Lonchura striata: one gene and its partner. The protein of the gene in region 1 interacts with the protein of each later gene in a biochemical or structural test. Links are inferred from orthologs where the notes say so. Each region holds a gene or a part of one and is shown on either strand. Other genes may lie near its edges.

Region 1 (10,326 bases):
CCCAGACTCCAAATATCCACCTTTTCATCATGTGTTCTTCCCTCAATCATTTCAGGAGGCAGGTAGTCAAGTGTCCCACAGAGAGTTGTTCTCCTGAAGAAAAGTCCAAGTTAATCATTGATTAAGATAATTAGAGGATCTATTTCAAGAGTCAGATAAGAACTAATGCTGGCAATCATCTGTACCTCAGTGCAGTCCACCTGAATGGACTCGGCACCATCAGAACAGCTGGGAAAGAAAAGCCAGCAGGACATTTTCTACTTCTACTGAAAGTATTTCATTCCCTGCAATCAGTCAGTCTTAGCTCCTTTCTTCACCCCACATGCTAGAACAAACCTGTTCCTCCCTTCTCAGGTGCCATTTCCCACTCTCTCAGAAATAACCAAATTGCCAGTGTAATGTCCGAGTCCAAGTGCAGGTTTGTCATCTCAGGGAGCACAGTAACCCTACACCAGCCTTCCTCTGAGGGCCAGCAAGGTTTGAACTAAAAACCAGGCTAACAACCCTCCTCTGTCACACCAGTTGCCTGTTAGGCCCTTTGTTATAGCAGCATTTTTCCCCAGTATTTCAGGAAGTTCCCACGTACCTCCCTTCCACAACTGTGTGATAAAAACTGACACTACAGAAGGATTCCAGTGCACAAGAGATTGAATTCTCACCTAGAAGATGGAGCATGCACAGACCACCCAAAGTCAGCAATTTTTAACTCTCCATTGGATCCTAGCAGCAAATTCTCTGGCTTGATGTCTCTGTGGATCACACGCTTGGAGTGACAGTACGAGAGGGCATCTGCAAGTTCTGTGATGTACTGGGTGCAGAAAGAATAATCTTTAAGATATTGTCACCTGAGTTTATCTGGCTGCAGCACAGCCTTTTGGAGCCATAATTATAATTTTAAATTAAAGCAATTATTCCTTTACACTCGAAGCCTGGCAATACAGGCTGTGACTTGCAATATTAAGCAATTCTGAACATAAATTCCTGCACAGCCCTAACCCTTCCCAATTATTCCCTGCCCAGATGCCAACTAGCAGCTAAGGAATCTCAGTGTCCCCCAGCAGAATACAGAACTTGATCTGAAGGGTTGGCTCTGTCCTGCAGATATCCCAGATACAGGAATGGAGAGGAAGCTGGAACAACCTACAGTAGCAGTTCTTTGCTCATCGAACTTGCTGAGCCTCTGAAGCTCCCTGTAGACCTCCCCACGAGGTGCGTGCTCCAGGATCAGGTAGACTCTTGTCACATCATGGAAGTAGCCATATAATCTGAGAATGTTGGGGTGCCTGCAAAGAGATTTCAATGTTCTTCTGAATCAGGTGTTTGCCAAAACCTTCAATTTCCCACCTTTTCCTGTTCCCTTCCGCTTTCAAGGGAAGCACAGGAATTTCAGCTCATCCGTGTTCCTTCAGCTCACAACACACAAACCCCTTATCATAAAGAAGCCTCATCATAACCAAGGTCACCTTGTTTATTTGGGTGCAAACAAAGCAGAGTAAATAGTCACTGAACTTTACCTAAGATGAGACTGTATTTCCACTTCTCTTCGTAGTTGATGTTCTACACCAGCTTCCTCAAGCTGTGTTTTAAAGAGCACTTTCAGTGCGAGAATAAATTTGCTCTGTTTTTCACGTGCCAGGTACACATTCCCAAATTTTCCTTTCCCCAGAGGACGACCAATTTCAAAATCGTCGAGGGACCATTGCCTTCTGCAAGAGGAAAGTTAAAAGCTGGATAGTTGTGTTGGATTTGACTCAAATTTACAGTTTATAACATTGCTGTTCAAGAGATGCTTAGTGCTCTAAACTAGATTTTAGTCTTTAAGAAAATACCTAGAGAATAAAAGCATTGAGATTTTTCAAAAGGAAGTTGTGAAAACTATTTTCTTTCCTCCTGAAGCTTCTGCAGACACTACACCAACCACACTACTACAAAATGAAGTCTGTTTACCAAGCTGGGCTCCTTCAGATACTCCTAACCCAGACACATCACCAGGGCATGGCAAAACAATTTAAAGTTGCCATAAACAAATCCAGTTTCATATCAAAATAGACTCCAGCCTCCTGCCCAGATGAAGGAGGCTTTGTTTTCAGGAGTACATCTAGTGACTGAGGCAGCAGCTATCAGTGCTCTCCCATGGGAAGAGCCACTCTGCATTTAGCCCGAAGTTTTCTTTAGATTCCAACAAGTCCTTGTTCCTGACAATTATCAGGTCAAAGGCTGCTTTTCCTTGTGAGGTGTCTGCAAAGCAAGGGGGTCACCAGGCTCCACAGCCAAAGGAGCTCCAGCAGGGCTCAGTTATCCAGAATTCAGGCATAAACTTACTTTTTAGTCTCTTCACTTTTCTTCTTGGTCTCTTCAGTTTTCTGTTTAGAGGTGCTTTCTGCTTCAGGGTTTTGTGCTGTGTACAGAGAAGGAAATCAGTTAATGAACCAGACTCATGGGCACACACACACATGAACAAATCTAACCCCTGTGCATCATCTGAAGCAGTTTTTAGAACCCATTCAGTGACATTTTAATTAAACTAGCATGGCTGACTGCTAGGGAAGAAACAGTGCTGGCAAAATGCAATTTTAAAAGCTTATGGAGCATAAAACTCCATGAATTCTTTCCCCCTCCCCAGACAAAAGTATCCCTGGACACTTGGAAAACCTGTGAAGTCTGAATGCAAATGACATTAACTCCGAGCTGTCTGCTGAGCACCTACAAGTTTTTAACACCATAATGTCCCTAATTTATCTAATTTATCTCTGTTAATTTAGAGGTAAATTCATAAGGATGGTGCAGTAACACCCGAGGTGAACCACGTACTGCTCTTCTGTTTGGGGGCACAACCAAGAACTTCCCTGCAGGACTGTCCCTGGATCAGCAGCAGCTTTAGGAGCATCCCGAGTGTCACAGCTGCAATCACACAAAATCATCCTCAGAATTACCAGGTGCTGCAGCCTGGGGAGGTTTCTCACTGCCCTTGCTTGCAGCCTGAGGTCTCACAGCAGCCTGCTGGGGCACTTTGGGTTGGAGCTGCTGAGCTGGTTGGTTGCTGGGTTGTTTTTGGGTGGACAGAACAGGTTTTTGGGGTTGCGCGGGGACTCGCTGGGCAAAGTTTGCGGGACACAGAACTCGGGCTGGAGCTCCAGTGGTCAGTGAGCGGCTCGGGGCTGAGTGCTGCGACACGGGGACACGTCTGGGGGCATCCCCGATGGGATTGGAGACCTTCAAAGAGAAAGGAGAAGGCGTTAATTGTGCAACAGCACAGCACAGCCCTCACGGCCCCATTCAGGATGGCACGGCCACACAAAAGCACTTTAACAGAATCACGTATTTAGTTGATTAAAAGAAAATTTTGCTTATGCTGTTCCAAAAACTTATCAGGTCTATTTGGCTTTATATAAAATACTGACAAAGTGCCTGTATTTCTAAATAGAAGAAACACAATAATAAGGGTGATCTTGAGCACTGCTGCACATGTACACAGCACTTGCTTTTAAAAACTGTATCTAAAATAATTTGATAATACACACTCACTTTCTCTTTAAGAGCTCTTAAATACTTGCAATAGAAGGAAGATTTCCCCATTTAATAAGATAGGCTAATATTAACAATAATTTTTAAAAACTGCTCGGGGCTCTGTTTTCTCTAGGAGAAAGGCACTGAAAGACAAATTTCTAGTTAATATGCGATGGGGAGAAACAAACCCACCAAGCAAAAACTAAAAACCACCACTCCAGAACCTAGCAGAACTTTAATGGCAAACTCCCAGGCATCGAGTCCAAGGATGCAGCAGAAGAAATTGCTCAGGAAGAGGAACATAAGGGTGTGAAATACGCGGTCTACCTTGGCGGCGCGGCCGGGGCAGGCAGCGTGGTTCTCCTTCATGTTCCTGTCCATAGCGCCAGAGCGGGAGCGGCCCGAGCGGCTCTGGCTGAGGGCGAGAGGGAGCCAGCGGGGCTCAGCGAGCGGAGCACAGGAAATGGCGGGTCCCTTATCGATCCCCACTGTTTATCGGCAGAGATCCATCACCAATCCCCCCCGCCCGCCCTCAGGCCCGGCGCTCAGCGCGGAGCCGCCGCCTCAGGGCCGCCGGAGCTGTTTGAATTCAAACCGCCGCGCCTTAAATACCCCTTTAAACCCCCGCCGCCCGCCATTGGCCGCCCTCCCGCGGCCCGCGCACGCTGATTGGCTCCTCCCGCGGGCGGCCCGCTCGCCTATTGGTTACCAGGCGCGCTCCGCCGGGCCGCGAGGGGCGCACGCGCCTCGCCGCGCCGCGCCCCTCCACCGGCGTTGTCGCCGTGCGGCGCGTTACGCACTTTGCGTAGCGCCGCGCCGCCCCCCCCACCCCGGCGCGCGCCGCCCGCGCACTTCCCGCCGGGCCGAGCCGCCGCTTCCGCTACGCAAATCGCGTAACGCGCCGCGCTCCCACCTGTGGCCGCCGCCGCCTCCGCTCCGCTCCGCGCCCCGGGAGCGCCGCCAGGTCAGTCCCGCTCCCGCCGGACTCCCCCCCAACACACCCCCGCCCACCCCCGGGCGAGGCCGGGCAGCGGCGCCGCTGCCAGCGCGCGTGGGGCCGAGCGCCAGCGGGGCCATTGTGTGCGTGCCCCCCCCGGACGGGCCGAGCAGGGCCGGAGCCTCCCCGGTGCGGCCCCGGGCAGCGCCACGTGCCGGCAGCGCTTCAGGGCGAGCGCCGAGCGCCAAGGCCCCGCCCGGCCCGGCCCGAGCGACCGCGCACCCCTCGCAGGCGCCGGGACAGCGGCAGCGCGGCCGCTCAGCGAGCGCGGCCCGCGAGCAGCGCAGCGAGCGCGGCGTCAGGCGCTGCTGCCCCGCGGGTCCCCGCCAGGGAAACTCCGCTCGGCGCTCGGAGCTGGTGAAGAACTGCGAGGCAAGGCACTGAAAAGTTCACTGTCTCCGCGGTGCTGAAAACAAGAGCGAAGGAGAGCCTGGTTGTGTGTGTCGGTGTTTACAAGTGGTTCAGGATAGGTAAAAAGAAGATGTCGGGTCGCCGTGTCGCTGCAGCGTGTGACAGACGACAGCTGCCCCGGGGCATGGGGGGCATGGCAGCCCCGCTGCTCGACCCGCGCCCGCTCCGCCTGCCCTTCCTCGAGGCTGACGTGAGTAGCGCTCGGGGCGGGGACGGTTTGCGCCGGGGCCGGGGCCGGGCCCGCCCGCAGCGCTGCTGGGCAGCCGCGCCAGCCGCTTCATTCCCAGCCCGTTCACGTCGCCGTGTTTGGGATCCGGGCGCTGGCGGAAGCGGCGCTCCGGAGCTTTGCGGCTGCGACACAAAAGAAGCCCCGGGCTCCCCCCCGCGCCCGCCGGGGGCCGGGCCCGCGCCGCTCCCCCGCCCCGAGAGCGGCTCCGCGGCCTTCCCAGCGCCCCGCTGGCCCCGAAGGGGAACGGGGGGATGGACCCTCGGCGTCCCCGGGAGGGAGGGATGGGGAGGGGGAATGGGCAGCGGGACCCCCGGGATCCCTGAAAGGGAGAATGGGCAGCGGGACCCCCGGAAGGGGCGGGGTGGAGAGAAGGGACCCCTGGAAGGGGAGAAATGGGGAGGGGGGTCGCCCAGGACCCCCGGGAGGGGGAACGGGGAGAAGGACCCCGGGATTCCCCGGGGGGGAGTGGGGATTTGGGATCGGGACCCCCGGAGCGCGATCCGGGATGGGGACCCCCGAAGCGGGATCGGGGCTCCGGGGACCCCCGAAGCGGGATCGGGGCTCCCAAGCAGGAGCGGGATCGGGACCCCCGAAGCGGGATCGGAGCTCCCAAGCAGGATCGGGGACCGGGACCCTCGGAGCGGGATCGAGGATGGGAACCCCAAAGCGGGATCGGGACCCCCGTAGCAGGATCGGGACTCCCGGAGCGGGATCGGGGGTGGGAAGCCCAAAGCGGGACCGGGACCCCCAGAACGGTACCGGGGGTCTGTCCCCCCTACCCGGGGGTCCCTCCCCGTGACGCGGGGGGCGTGGCGCTGCCGTGACGCCGCCCCGTTGTGTCGTGTCCCCCCCCCAAGAGCCGCCTCCCATCGATGTGCGGGCGCTCGATGCAGCAGCCTTCGCGGAGGAGCGTCCTGCGGGCCCGGCCGCCCCCGCCGCTGCCGCCGCCGCCGCTCGATGCGCTCCGCGCGCCCGCCGCCATCTTAGGGGCAGAGCGCGGGCGGCAGAAGGAAGGCTCGGTACGTACCGGCACCGCCCGCACCGCGGCTCGGCCCGCCCCGCGCGGGCCCGGGCCGCCGGCGGGGCGGGGAGGGCGCGGGGCTCCCCGCGGGGCGGGCGGCGGGGCTGTCGTGCGCGCCCCGCGCACCCATCCACCCACCCATCCATCCATCCATCCCCGGGCCCGCCGGCAGCACCGGCCGGCGCGCTCGGCTCCTGCCGCCGGCTCCGCTGCCGCGTAGCGAGTGCGGGCCGCTCTGCGGCCGAGGTTTGCAGTCACACAGAAAGGCAGCGCAACAGGTTTTTCCTCCCCTTTTCCTTCCCTTTCCCCCTTTTTCCTCCCTGTTACCTCCCCCTTTTCCTCCCGTTTGCCTCCCCTTTCTCCCCTGTCTTCCTTCCTTTCCTCAAGTCTTTTCCTTCCCTTTCCCTCCCCTTCTCTCGTCTTTTCCTTCCCTTTTCCCTCCCCTTCTCTCGTCTTTTCCATCCCTTTTCCCCATCTTTCCATCCCTTTTTCCCAAGTCTTTTCCTCCCCTTTCCCGAGTCTTTTCCTTCCCTTTTCTTTCCTTTTCTCCCGTCATTTCCTTCCTTTCCATCCCTTCTTTTCTGTTCTTTTCTCCTGTCTTTTCCATCCCTTTCTCCCATCTTTTCCTTCCCTTTCTACCACCTTTTCTTCCCCCTTTCCTCTTCTTTCTCTCCCTTTTTACTCCTCTTCCTCCCCCACCTTCCTCTCCCCATCTCTGCTTTTCACCAAAACCAAAGCAATATTTGGTGCCTGCCCTGAGATTTGTTCCAAGGTTCTGGTGGTTTCGTGCAACTGTCTCGTATGTGATTTCTGTTCTTCATTCCAGGCCCCCCCAAGGCAGTCCCTGCTCACAATGTATAGGACAAAAGTCAGTTTGAAAGATCGTCAGCAACTTTACAAACTGATAATTAGCCAGCTGCTCTATGATGGATACATCAACATTGCCAATGGCTTGATAAATGAGATCAAACCACAGTCTGTGTGTGCACCCTCTGAACAACTGCTGCACTTAATTAAGTTAGGTAAGCTGGAATCTGGAATCAAAAGCTGACATAAAAGTCTAGTTTCTAATTCCCCACTGAAGTAAGAGGTTGGTGTCACTGGAAAGACACCTCTGATGCAAAGGTGGTGTCTGGTAATAGCACAGCACTTGTACATCTGGGTACAGCCTTTGCCTCTGTGGGGTTATGAAGGGCATCCCTGTGTGATTAACAGCAAACCAGATCCCTGAGTGTGGCCCAAATCTGTTTGAACTCCTCTAAAGACACTCAGGGTTCTGGGTGGGTGGCAGCCTTCTCAAAACACCCCAGTGAATGGGGTCACTGAACCCCCAGATCTGAGGGAAAATCTCAGCCTTATAGTTCTGCTGACTTGAGAAAGAAATAATTCCTGTCTGGCTGTTCCTGGCAGTGTTGGAGAGGGAGCAGGTCCTTCCCTTGGCAATCTTTGCTGGCTTTTATAGATCAGTCCCCAGGAAACAGCTGCACACTCTGGGGTCTCAGCAGGGCTGTCACCTGTTCCCTCCCTGTACTTCCCTCTGGAAGTGCCACATTGTGGGGAAAACGGGGAAAACCCCTGACCTGCTCTTGGAACAAGCTGACCAAGTCCTGGAGGAGCTCTGGCCATGACACCATGTGTAACCCAACTGGTTCTGCTGCCTGAACTAGCTGAGTTCTGAGGGTATAAGTCTGTGAAGCTTTGTGTCTGTTTGAAATGCAAATTCTAGACTTGAAATGAGCAGATGAAAGCAGCAAAAAGATCACCACTGGGCTGAAAACTCTTGTGTCTGCTCTGTTGCCACCTCCAGGCTGAACCCTAGTCTGTAACTGGATCTTGAAAATAAAGATAAAAGTCTGGGAAGTGGGCTTGAAGACCAGCGAGTTTTTTCTCTTGCAGTGCTGGGACAGTTTGGCGTCAGAGCAAACAAATAGGAAAAGAATCAGTAAATACTTTGGGTTTTTACTTTAAAACTCACGTAATAGTGTTGGAGCTTATTGCTCTTCTGTGAAAAGCTGACCGGAGGCCTGTGCATGGTCAGTGACTGATTTCCCAATCTTCACTGGGGGTATTCCCAGAGCTCCTGAGGAGCTGAGCCTGCTCCAGTGCAGCCCATCTCTCCCTCACTCCTCCCCAGTGCTGTGTGACCCAACCTGCTCTGCCAGCTCAGCTCTCCCCCAGGACTGCCTTTCCCAAACCTTCCCTGGAGCCGTGGCAGGCTGAGGGGAAGGCTGCCAGCCCTGAGTGCCACCCTGCTGTCCCCAGGCATGGAGAACGACGACAGCGCTGTCCAGTACGCCATCGGCCGCTCGGACACGGTGGCGCCGGGCACCGGCATCGACCTGGAGTTCGACGCCGACGTGCAGACCATGTCCCCCGAGGCCTCCGAGTACGAGACCTGCTACGTCACCTCCCACAAGGGGCCCTGCCGCGTGGCCACCTACAGCAGGGACGGGCAGCTGATCGCCACGGGCTCGGCCGATGCCTCCATCAAAATCCTGGACACCGAGAGGATGCTGGCCAAGAGCGCCATGCCCATCGAGGTAAGGGATTGTGAGCACTGGGAATCCTGTCCATGCCATGCCCGTTGGGATAATGAATTGTAAATACTCTGGGAATTGTGTTCATGCCATGCCTATATCACTCTGGGAATCCTGTCCATGCCATTCCCATTGGGATAATGAATTGTAAATACTCTGGGAATTGTGTTCATGCCCATCAAGGTAAGGGATTGTAACCATGCTGGGAATCCTGTCCTTGCCATGCCCATTGGGATAATGGATTGTAATCACTCTGGGAATATCCTGTCCATTCCATGCCCATTAGGATAATGAATTGTAATCACTCTGGGAGTATCCTGTCCATGCCATTCCCATTGGGATAGTGGATTATAACCACTCTGGGCGTTCTCTCCATGTCATATCTGTACCTTGTGGCTGCCTCAGTGGGTTGGACTAAGTACCTGTCTCAACATATTGCCTACTCCAGCAGCTGCTCATAACGTCCCTTAGAAGGAAGAAGAGCCAGGGCAAGGACACTGTGTCACCCTTGGCAGCAGGGAGAGAGCTGAGCCAGAAGTGGCTTCTTCTGGGTGCTGATCGTGGCTGTAATGTCTGAGCACAGTACATGTTAAACCCATGGGGCCTCTGCAGCCCCCATGGCCACCAGTGTTTTCACTGGTTATTTCAAAACTGTTTTACACATTGATGTGCTTTGTCTTTCTCCAAGGCAGTTATCAGGTGGCAATGAAAAGTGGGATATTTTTGCACAGAGCGCACACCAAGTTCTCAGCAGAGAGCTGCAGTTTTGGTGCAGCTTCTCATGATTATTCCAGCAGTCAGTGTTTTGCTTTGGGCTGTTTATGAAGGTGGTGTTTTCTTGCTACTGAAGTAGTTTGTCCTTGAGCCAAGTTATTTTGACCTTCATAAAGACACAGGGATCTTATTTGTTGACCTGCAGAGGGCCTTCAGATAACCAAGGGAACAGATTGTGTGCCTGGTTGTGTTAGAGAGGAGCTGCAGTTCAGCCACTCTGGCAAGCCTAAAACCTACTTTTCCTGTCAAAAACCTGCTTTATTTTCCAAGAGCAGCAACATGTTGAATGTTCTTTGTAGGTCATGATGAATGAGACAGCGCAGCAGAACATGGAGAACCACCCTGTGATCCGGACTCTGTACGATCACGTGGATGAAGTGACGTGTTTAGCTTTCCACCCAACAGAACAGATCCTGGCATCTGGCTCAAGGGACTACACACTTAAATTGTTTGATTATTCAAAACCTTCTGCCAAAAGAGCCTTCAAATACATCCAGGTGAGATACTGCTCAGGGCAGCCAAAGCTCAGATGTCTGAGTGCTGAGGTGGTGTGAGCTGAGCTGTGCCTCAGGGGGGTGCAGGAGCACGCAGCTACAGCATTTGCAGACATTACAGAGATTGTGTCTTAATTCTGTGCATCATGGACACTTGTAGTTAAGTCTAGAACCTTTTATTCAGCTTTTTATTCATTAGACCAACTCTTACCTGAATTAACTTGGAAGTAAATTCTGTTATCTTTGATTTGGAGGAGCATTTGGGATTATCTGGTAGGCTTGGGGGGGTGTGATATCCTAAAATAAGGGGGCACTGCAGGCTGCTCTAGGACAAAAACTACAGTGCAGCCACAGGC
Region 2 (10,406 bases), on another chromosome or scaffold:
TCCCTCTTGAGCTGATTTCTCACGGCACCCAAGCGCTGGGGGGAGGAGGGAGGCACAGACACATTCCACCTGGGGCACAGAGGAGGAGGCAGCACCCAAAAAACTCAGGTGCCTGCGAGCAGGAGGAAGGCAACAAACTTGTTCCCATTCCCACAGCAGCAACCCCATTCCCCAGCTGCACCCCCAGGGCTGCTCAGTGGCTGGATCCTGGTGTCAGGGAGCCCTGCCTGCACATTCCAGCGGCCCCAAAACTCACAGCAGAGATGACTCCAACCCACAGAGCTTCCCAAGCATTTCTGAACCTCTTCTCTTCAGGGTCAGCCACCTCCTGCCCCCCCCAGAGATGTCTCCAGCACCTGACCCTACTGCCACACTGCCAGAACCAGTTCCCCCAGTTAGGGCAGAGAGATAAATGCCACCTCCCAGTATATCCCCGAGCATCCCTGCTGCTGGAGCACTGGGATCACCCCTCTCAATGCCACAACAGCACAGAGCCCAGAAACTCACTGTGGGCAAACCCAGCACTGGGGACCCCACAAAACCAGCGAGAAAACCCCAATCCCCTAAAGGAGGAGAGCATCAGAGCTGCGGGGGCCACCCCTGCCCGACAGCCCAGGTGAGTTTTTGGCCAGGGCAGCCTGGCACATCCCCACAGCCGGAGAGCCCAGAGGGACACGGGCTGGGGAGGGATTCCCGATTCCCAGCTCCAGGAGGGAGCAGGGATGCCAGGGCTGGTGCCTACCTGCAGCCAGAGGCCCGGGGAGCCGCAGGCAGCCCGGCGATCCCGCAATCCTGCACAACCTCCATCTTAGGCAGGCGGCTCCGGCACGCAGCACAAGGTGACCCAAGATGCCTCCTCCTGCCTGAATTATTCAGCGGCGCTTCCACAGCGGGGGGAAAAATGCCACCCAAAGCCTCCTCTCCTACCTGAGGAGCTGGCCAGGCCAGCCTGGCATCAGCCAGCAGGCACGGGAATGAGGTCAGCAGCATCAGAGGCACCTCCGGCAGCCGTGACGGGGATGGGGACCCACCAGAGGCACACAAAGCCCGAATTAAAGGGCAGCCTTTCATCTCTGCTCCAGATGGGCCAGCAGCTGAGATGCAGGAGGGCAGCCAGGATAATAGGGGCAGGCAGGCAGCAGCTGAGCTGGGGCTCCCCATCCCCAGCCAGGAGGAGAGGGGATGGTCCCAGCACAGGGCATCACTTGGTTCAGATTTATTGCTGCCCTTCTGTGCTGTTTCAAGCCCCCCAAAATGACCAGCTAGCACTGAAAAGTGCAGGTTGAGGAGAGTCAGCACCACATTATTCCTTATTTCTGTTCTCCTTATTACCAGCCCGGGGAAGCAAAGCACTCCGGGATGATGAGGAGAGGAAGTTTTCACCGGCATTTCTTTCCTGCTTTTAAATCCACCCCCTCCTGAGAGCCAGATAACCTTCACTGCACACAATGTAGGGGCCCGATAGGACTAAATTCTCAGCTAAATTTAACTCAAACAATGCAGGCTTAAACAGTGATTACTGCTTTGCATATTTAAGCGCCTGGAATCGATATCAACTTTAACCTGGAGCTAATGAAAGCACAGATTGGTCAATCAATGGCATCAGCAAGGAAAACCACCACAATTAGCACAATTATTTTTTTGGGGAGAGCGTGGTGGTTTTTTTAAACAGTGTGAATTACAGAATCCCAGAGTTACTTCAGTTGGAAGGGACCTTAAAGGCCACTTCAAGCCAACCCCCAGGCACAGGCAGGGACACCTTCCTCTAGGACAAGACAAAAATCACATTTGCTGCTGCACAAGAGGGAGATTTTGGGGATGCTCTGCCCAAATGGGCCCCCATGGGCTGCATCACTAATCAGGGCTATGGGTACCTTGCCCTTATCCCAACACTGAAGTCATCACCTCCGAGGGACAACGAGGAAAATTTTTTCTTACTGCTCCTCTTGATTGCCTCGACTCAAATGAGGGCCTGGTAATTAGCAGTAATTACCCAGCGAGGCAGCATCCTGTGGCCAACTCCAAAACACAAGCACGCACTCCATGGGATGTCACTGAGTGTCCCCCGTGTCCTGGAGAGCACGGCCACACTTGGGCACTTTAAAGCAACTTTAAAGCAACTTTCCCTTCCCACTGCACCTGTGACAACCTGGGTGATGTGAACACAGCTGGCAAAATCCACCAGCACCCCAGGTTTTCATGCTGGGGTTGTACGAGATGCCCAGCAACCACCAAACCCAGACTTTTCTGGGAAAGCCAGAGCTGAGGTTGTCTCACACTCATTATCTCCTTCCCTAATGAACCATCTCATCCATCACAGCAGCTCTGCTGAATCACAGAATTCCCTGAGCTGGAAGGGACCCACAGGGATCAGCCAGGGCAGATCCTGGCCCTGCACAGACTCCCCAACAATCCCACCCTGAGCATCCCTAGGAGTGGTGTCCAAAAGCTCCTGGAGCTCTGGCAGCCTCGGGAATGTCACCATTCATTCCCTGGGGAACCCAGGCAGTGCCAGCACCTTCTGGGGGAGAAACCTTTCCCAAAATCCAACCTAAACCTGACACAGCTCCAGACATTCCCTGGGTCCTGTCACCGGTCACCAGAGAGGAGAGCTCCGTGCCCTGTCCCTGTGTCCACCCCAAAATCCCCACACCGTGCCAGGGCAATTTCCAGCTCAGCAACACCCCATCCCCTCTTGGAGCAGCAGCTCCACGAAGGGTCACACCGAGAAACCAAAGGGAAAAACAAAACCCAAAAGGACAATGAAGCACCTTAATGTCAGTACATCACTTGACAGCACGCCCAGCTTTTCCAGGGTCACCACCAGAGTCAGCCTTACAGCTGTGGGCCATTGGCCACACTCATTTTCCTTTTGCACCTCAATGCCATCTCTCCCCGTGCACCCCAAAACCACCCCCAGACCCTCCAAAGTTGGCAGAGAGCAGCGACTCTGTTAACCAGGCTCCACTCCCGATTAGCAAAGCAGCGATGGCGTAATAAAAGCGCCATAAATTTATGTAAAGAGCTTCCAAAGCAGCGCAGCGGTTTGAATATTCACGCCAGCGCGGTATTTGCATTGTAATGGGGCTTTTCACTCCCAGCCTTGCCTCCGTAAGGAAAAACAAAGCGCCCATCTGGTTCGATTTTGCGAATCGGGCTGGGGTCGCTCCGCAGTAAGTCGGGGTGCGATAAAGCCCAAGGTGGAGGCGCAAAGCTGATTATTTCAGAAGTAAACAAAGCGAGCCGGTGATGGATGCAGCGATGCCCCGCACGCCGGGTGATGCGGGATTCGGTGATCCCCGCGGAGCTGCCGGCTCCACCGGAGCCGGGCTCTGCTGAATCACGGCGGCAGCTCCGGTTGGGGAGCACCCAGATGAGCTGGATACACCCAAATTTACACCCAGGAAAATCCCAGCACTGGATGCTCCTAGTCTGTGGATTTTGTCTCTCCTCGGCTCCATCCCTACAGGGATGCTCCAAGGGAGATGGGCCCACGGTTGGTGACCAGACAGCAGATGCTGTCTGCCACCCTGGTGACAACGAGAGCTTTGCCGATGACAAAACAACTGCTGTTATTAATTCCTCCAGCCACAGCCGGCTGCTTCCAGGGCTCAGCCCGGCGAGAGCGCTCCAGAACCCGCTCCCAGCGCTCGGAGCATCCCTCCGGCAGCAGGGACGCACGCCGGGATGGGGGGCCCTGGGCAGGAGGAGCTGTCACCCCGCGGGACCACTGCCACCAGCGCCGAGGGGACCTTGGGGGGCTTTGGGGTGGCACCCACTCACAGACACCCCTGAAATCACCGCCGCGCCCCGTGGCCACGAGTCCCCATCCCCATCACCCCCTTCCCTCCATCACCCCCCGCTCCCAGCATCCCATCCCTCCAGCATTCCCCGTTCCCCTCCAGCATCTCGCCACCCTCCGGACCCCCTCCTTCCCCAGGCACCCACCTCGCCGCTGCGCCCCTTCCCCGCCGGCGCGTCCCGGCGCCCCGCACACGCGGCCGCCCCGCCGGGAAGGGCCGGGCAGGGGCGGGCCGGGCCCCGGCACCGCCCGCGGAGGAGGGACGGAGCGGGGCGGACAGCGCTGCCCCCGCACCGGGGCTCGGGGCTGCCCCTCCCCGCTCCCGCAGCCGCCCCCTGCCCGGCCCCGCTCACCGGCTGCCGGTGCCCGCGGGCGCGGCGGGGCTGGCGGAGCGCTCGGAGCGTTGCGGGGCCGGGGGAGGCGCCGCGTTCAAATGCGGCCGCGTTTATTGGGCCGAGGCTCGGGGGCGGCCCCGGGGCTGGCCCCGGGGCGGGGGGACCGGCGGCCTTTGTGCGGCACCGCCCGGGAACGCCCCCCGGCACCGGGGTCTGCTGGGGTGGCCCGCGCCGCCGGGGTACCGGCGTGTCCCCGGTGTTCTGCACCCCAGCTTGTCGCTGTCGCGTATCACCTCAGCTTCCCGTTGTCCTGCACCTCGGGATAGTATAACCCTCGGTCCCCGATGGCCTGATCCCCCCCGGTGGCGTCACCTCGGTTCCCATCGCCCTGCACCCCAGGGGACATCACCCCATCTCCCTGCTGTTCTGCACCCCAGGGTGGCATCGGCCCAGCTCTCCACTGTCCTGGCCCCTAGGGTGACACTACCATGGTCCCCAATGTCCCACACCTCAGAGTGGCTCTTCAGTGTCCCATCCCCCCAAATGGCATCATCGCAGTTCCCGTCATTGCGCTCCCCAAGGTGGCATCACCCCAGCTCCCAGATGTCCCCTCCCCCAGGGTGACATCGCCTGAGTTCCCATCATTCTGCACCCCACGGGGACATCACCCTGGCTCCCTGCTGCCCTGCACTCCAGAGCAGCATCACCCCGGCTCCATGGGTGGCATCACCCAGCTGCCCTCTGTCCTGCACCCCAGGGTGGCATCACCCCGGCTCCATGGGTGCCATCACCCAGCTGCCCTCTGTCCTGCACCCCAGGGTGGCATCACCCCGGCTCCATGGGTGCCATCACCCAGCTGCCCTCTGTCCTGCACCCCAGGGTGGCATCACCCCGGCTCCATGGGTGCCATCACCCAGCTGCCCTCTGTCCTGCACCCCAGGGTGGCATCACCCCGGCTCTATGGGTGGCATCACCCAGCTGCCCGCTGTCCTGCACCCCAGGGTGGCATCACCCCAGCTCCCCAGCGTCCTGTCCCCCGCGGTGACATCACCCTGGTTCTCATCCTCCCACAAGCCAAGTGGACACCACCGAGTCCTTGCTGTGCTGTCCCCAAGGGTGGCATCACCCCGGCTCCACACTGTCCTGTCCCCCAGGGGACACGGCCCTGCAGCTCCTCATTGTCCCAAAAAACCACCGGCACATCACCTGGGCTGTCCCACGCCTGAAGGTCACAGCAACACATCGCTGTCCCCTGCCCTGGGGACACGACACCCCATCTCCCTGCCATCCCCGGGCCTGGGGGACAGCCCCCCAACTCTCTGTGTGTCACCGTGACAGGACAGCTGCTGTGCTGTGGCATCCACCCCTTCCACCGCCCCAGCCCCGTGTTCCGGCGCTTCCCACTCGATTTTGGGGGGGAATCACAAAACCAAGGACCCCTTCTTTCCCCAGGAGCCACCCCGCAGGGCAGCCCTGGGGTGGTGACACACAAGCCACAGGCCCCAGCAGGACTCCAGCCCCCGTTTCAAGCCCGGCAGTCCAAGGCTTGTGGATTCTCTGATGGCTAAAAAAGGGTTCCACCCCCTCTGCAATCCACTCTCGAGCAATTGCATGAGATTATTTTGCTTTTTTTTTTTTTTTTCTGGTGAAAATGCCCGGGGCAATATGACTTCTTAGCCTTCTTCCCTTTTTTTTAAGGCAGCTCTGCTCTGCGAGTTCAAGAAATTTCGTGGGGAGGAGCGAGGGGAACACAAAAAAGCCTCGCACTGGGGGGGGGGTTGGATAAACCTCGCTCAGATCATAAACCAGGCTTAAAACCCCACAGCAGAGCCACGGGTGGGTTTGCCAGCACACAAGGACATCTGGGACATGTGAGGTGACAGCAGAAAGAGCTCCAAAAAGTATTGTAATAAAATATTGTATTAAAATATTGTAATAAAATATTGTAACAGAATAGTGTAACAAAATATTGTAATAAAATATTTAGGGATGGCTTTGCTGCATGTCACCTGGCACGTCAGTGCCACCTGGCCCGGGGACAGCTCCGTGGCTGTGGGACGTGGCACAGTGTCCCCAGCACAGCCCTGGCCGGGGATGTGGCCGTGTCCCCGCGGTGACAGCAGCAGGGCAGGGTGACTCCAAAGGGAAGGGGACCCTTGGCGAGAGGCTTTGCCGGACAGATGTCAGCAGCCGTGGCTTTGTGCCGGCCGAGGGCTTTTTGTTTGGGTTTTTAACATTTGCCATTTTTCTCCGCCGCTTTCTTCTGCTCTGACACTTGCTGAGGGTTTTTTTTTTTTTCCTTTCTTTCCTTTCTTCCTCTCTTCCCACATTTGCTTTTCCATCCCCGCTTCAAACACTTTTTCTCCGCGTATTATGCTGAAGTTGGAACCATCTGGTGCTTTGTTTTGTTGCGAGCCCGGCGAGTGCCAGGACCTTTATCCCCCTCACCCTCCTCCTCCTCCTCCTCCTCCTCTTTGCCGGTGCCTCGCTAATCCAAGCGACAGCCCCGAAAAATCCCCCCCGTCCCCCAAAAAGCCACGGGCCACACGCGTGCAGGGCGGGCGATGGGGACAAGGCTCGGTGTCCCCATGTCCCCATCCCACAGGGACGTGCAGCCCCCGCTTCAGGAGCGCTGCTGATCCTCCCAGTGCAAATTCCTGACTCGTTTTTAGGACCAGCTGGTAGCAGAGGCATCCTGGTTTGATTTTCCCCGTAGGAGAAAAGCGTGTTTCTAGGGAGCCGCGGAGCCGTGCCAGACACAAAACCCTCCGAGCCTATTTTTGGAGCTCCTTTCCCAGCGAGCAGCTGCGCTCCGGGATGGGCATTTCCCGGGAAATGCCACCCCGGAGCTGGGAGGAAGGAAACCTCGGCTCAAGCGACCCACGGTGTCACAAAATTCGGGATACGTGGGAAACGCCGCGATTGCGGGCCATCAGCCGCCGAGGGTGGCACGGAGCCACCCAAAATCAGGGGCAGGCGGTGGGTGACCCCTGTGCCAGGCCGTGGGTGCTCGGCTCCTGCAGAAACACCCTCCCGGCTTGGCTCGGGCTGCTCCGTCACGCTTTCCTTCCCATTTTCCCTGAACAATGGGGTGCTTTGTTCTAGGGCGAGGAAAAGTCCGGCTGCTGCGCTGGGGGAGATGCTTCTGCATTCCTGGGCTCTTTCCAGCTGCGCCCTGCTGGGCACAGGAACCCCTCGGCCCGCCCAGGACAAGGGGAAGAGGGTCATCAAATAGCCAAAGAATTAAAAAAAAAAAAAAATAAAGAAAAAGGAAAAAAAAAAAAGCCATGAAACCATCAGCAAAACGTAAAGGGGAAAAGGAAAAGACGCTGTATGGAAAAAAAAAAAACCAGCTGGAGGGAACCTCCCCATCTCCCAGCTGGTGCCGGGAGAAGTTTGGAATGACATAAGCCCAAACTTTGCTATTTTTTACACAAAACAAAGGCTAAGCCGCAGCGGTACCTCCGCGGCTCGCTGCTGCCATCCCACGTCCGGCTCCAATCGCCTTCCCAGCGCCTCCTCCCGAGCCTGATCCTGCCTCATTCCAGCCGAGGATTTTCCCTTCAGCCCAGGAAAAACTCCTGTTAGCCGCCTTTGCTGTGCTGGCTCTTTCATGGCAAGAAATATTTGGGTGGTTGCTCCGTCCTGGTGAGGTTCCCGAGCTCCGTGCCAGCCTCTTCCAGCCCGCAGGAGCTCCAGAGCCCCCGGGCACCGTGCCCATCCCTGTGGGCATCACTGGAATTGTTGGGCATCGCCTTCCCCCCTTGAGAAGTCACTGCTGAGCTGCAGCCAGAGCACTCGCTGGGAATGGGGAAAAATTTGGGATGGAAGGAGAAGCTGTGGTCTGTGAAACCAGATGGGAATGGGGAAAAATTGGGGGTGGAAGGAAAAGCTCTGGCCCACAAAACCAGCTGGGAATGGGGAAAAATTTGGGGTGGAAGGAAAAGCTCTGGCCTGTGAAACCAACTGGGAATGGGGGAGAAATGGGGATGGAAGGAAAAGCTCTGGCTCATGAAATCAGCTGGGAATGAGGAAAAATAGGAGATGGAAGGAAAAGTTCTGGCCTGTGAAACCAGCTGGGAATGGGGGAAAATTGGGAGTGGAAGGAAAAGCTCTGCCCTGTGAAACCAGCTGGGAATAGGGAAAATTGGGGGTGGATGGAAAAGCTCTGGCTCATGAAATCAGCTGGAAATGGGGAAAAAATGGGGGTGGAAGGAAAAGTTCTGGCCTGTGAAACCAGCTGGGAATGTGGAAGAATTAAGGGTGGAAGGAAAAGGTCTGGTTCACAAAACCAGCTGGGAATGTGGAAGAATTTGGGATGGAAGGAAAAGCTCTGTCCTGTGAAACCAGCTGGGAATGGGGAAAAATTGGGGATGGAAGGAAACCTCTTGCTGATGAAAGCAGCCGGGTCTGTTGGTCATTTCCCCCGTTCTTGTGCCCCTGGAGCATGGAGGAGCAGCTGGAGCTGCCTTGTGGCACCTCCTTGCAGCAGCTGCTGCTGGGGAACGCCTGCCCACAGCCCCAGCTTCACTGGACCTGTTTGTCTTTGCATTTGCATTTTGCTGCTGAGGCAGGGTTAGATTAGATATTGGGAAAGAATTGTTCCCTGTGAGGGTGGGGAGGTCCACACAGGGTGCCCTGGGTCCCTGGAAGTGTCCCAGGCCAGGTTGGACAGGGCTTGGAGCAACCTGGGACAGTGGAAGGTGTCCCTGTCATGGCAGGGGTGGGATGGGATGGTCTTCAAGGCCCCTTGAACCCAAACCATTCTGGGATTCCATGATTCCAACGCAGCACAGGTTTTAATTTGGAGGGCAGATGAATAAAAGCAGCTCCAAATGCCAGCCTGGGTGGCTGGTCCTCTGGGAAAGGTTCATCCCAGCCCTCCCCCAGCTGATTGATGGGGTCCCTGCTGTGGGCCCCACTGGCAGCTGAGGTGATGAAGGGCTGGCCCAGCTGTGGGTGTCTTCCAGCAGCACATCCTCCTGCAGCTGGCAGGATTTCCCAGGGAATTCTGCTGAAGCAGGGATATTTCTCTCCCGGTGGGAAGTTTCATCCTGAAAAAGTCTAGCTGACTCACCCTGACACGGCTGCAGGTGGGAGGCTCAGCAGCAGCAGGTTTCCACCCTTCCTGCTCGATCCTAGGCACACCAGCTTTAGTGTTAAACCATTTAAAATGATTTTTACTTTTTGACCTGGAAGCATTCCCTCTGTGCTCCTTGCCTGTGGAAAGGCTGTTTTCCCTGGTGTGGCACCTCACTGCTGGCACCATGCTCCCCCTGGTCTCTTTTGGGGGACAGAGGACTGCATATTTTCTAGGGTCCCCTCTAAACCCACTCAGCCCTGGGTCATAGGGGGCTGGGTGGGTTTTTCTAGATTTTCTGGATTTTAAACCTGCACGTCCTTGGGGGACAGAGAACTACAGAGATCTCCTGGGGTTCCTGGGGGACAGGGCACTGCCACCCTGGTGGCATCCCTCTAGACCCAACCAGCGTGGGGGACAAGGGGATGACACCCTGCCAGAGACTCCTGTACCCAGCCAGCGTGGGGGACAAGGGGATGCCACTGTGACAGAGACCCCTGTGACCCAGCCAGCGTGAGGGACAAGGGGATGTCACCATGCCAGAGACCCCGGCCAGCATGGGGGACAAGGGGATGCCACCATGTCAGAGACCCCTGTGACCCGGCCAGCATGAGGGACAAGGGGATGCCACCATGCCAGAGACCCCGGCCAGCATGAGGGACAAGGGGATGCCACCGTGCCAGAGACCCCTGTGACCCGGCCAGCATGGGGGACAAGGGGATGCCACCATGTCAGAGACCCCTGTGACCCGGCCAGCATGAGGGACAAGGGGATGCCACCGTGCCAGAGACCCCTGTGACCCGGCCAGCCTGGGGAACAAGGGGATGCCACCCTGCCAGAGACCCCGGCCAGCATGAGGGACAAGGGGATGCCACCGTGCCAGAGACCCCTGTGACTCAGCCAGCCTGGGGGACAAGGGGATGTCACCATGCCAGAGACCCCGGCCAGCATGGGGGACAAGGGGATGCCACCATGCCAGAGATCCCGGCCAGCATGAGGGACAAGGGGATGCCACCGTGCCAGAGACCCCGGCCAGCATGAGGGACAAGGGGATGCCACCGTGCCAGAGACCCCTGTGACTCAGCCAGCCTGGGGAACAAGGGGATGCCACCCTGCCAGAGATCCCGGCCAGCATGAGGGACAAGGGGATGCCACCCTGCCAGAGACCCCAGCCAGCATGAGGGACAAG

Evidence for each region. The genes of interacting proteins can lie anywhere in the genome.
Region 2: of the proteins of AURKA (region 1) and NIN, one has a biochemical effect on the other in vitro, tested with the Homo sapiens proteins (2 studies listed by BioGRID). The link is inferred for Lonchura striata from reciprocal best matches to the Homo sapiens genes AURKA and NIN.

What each region holds. Positions count from the first base shown.
Region 1 is NC_134619.1:2,537,040-2,547,365, forward strand, and holds the start of AURKA (aurora kinase A), read right to left. Parts: upstream 3,889-10,326; coding exon 3,835-3,888; intron 3,214-3,834; coding exon 2,934-3,213; intron 2,399-2,933; coding exon 2,323-2,398; intron 1,707-2,322; coding exon 1,515-1,706; intron 1,284-1,514; coding exon 1,145-1,283; intron 809-1,144; coding exon 660-808; intron 94-659; coding exon 1-93. Other genes in the region: CSTF1 (cleavage stimulation factor subunit 1), read left to right, coding at 4,986-5,105, 6,002-6,163, 6,992-7,187, 8,428-8,705, 9,776-9,973. UniProt on the Homo sapiens protein: Mitotic serine/threonine kinase that contributes to the regulation of cell cycle progression.
Region 2 is NC_134608.1:2,262,523-2,272,928, forward strand, and holds the start of NIN (ninein), read right to left. Parts: upstream 4,000-10,406; 5' UTR 3,949-3,999; intron 1-3,948. UniProt on the Homo sapiens protein: Centrosomal protein required in the positioning and anchorage of the microtubule minus-end in epithelial cells. May also act as a centrosome maturation factor.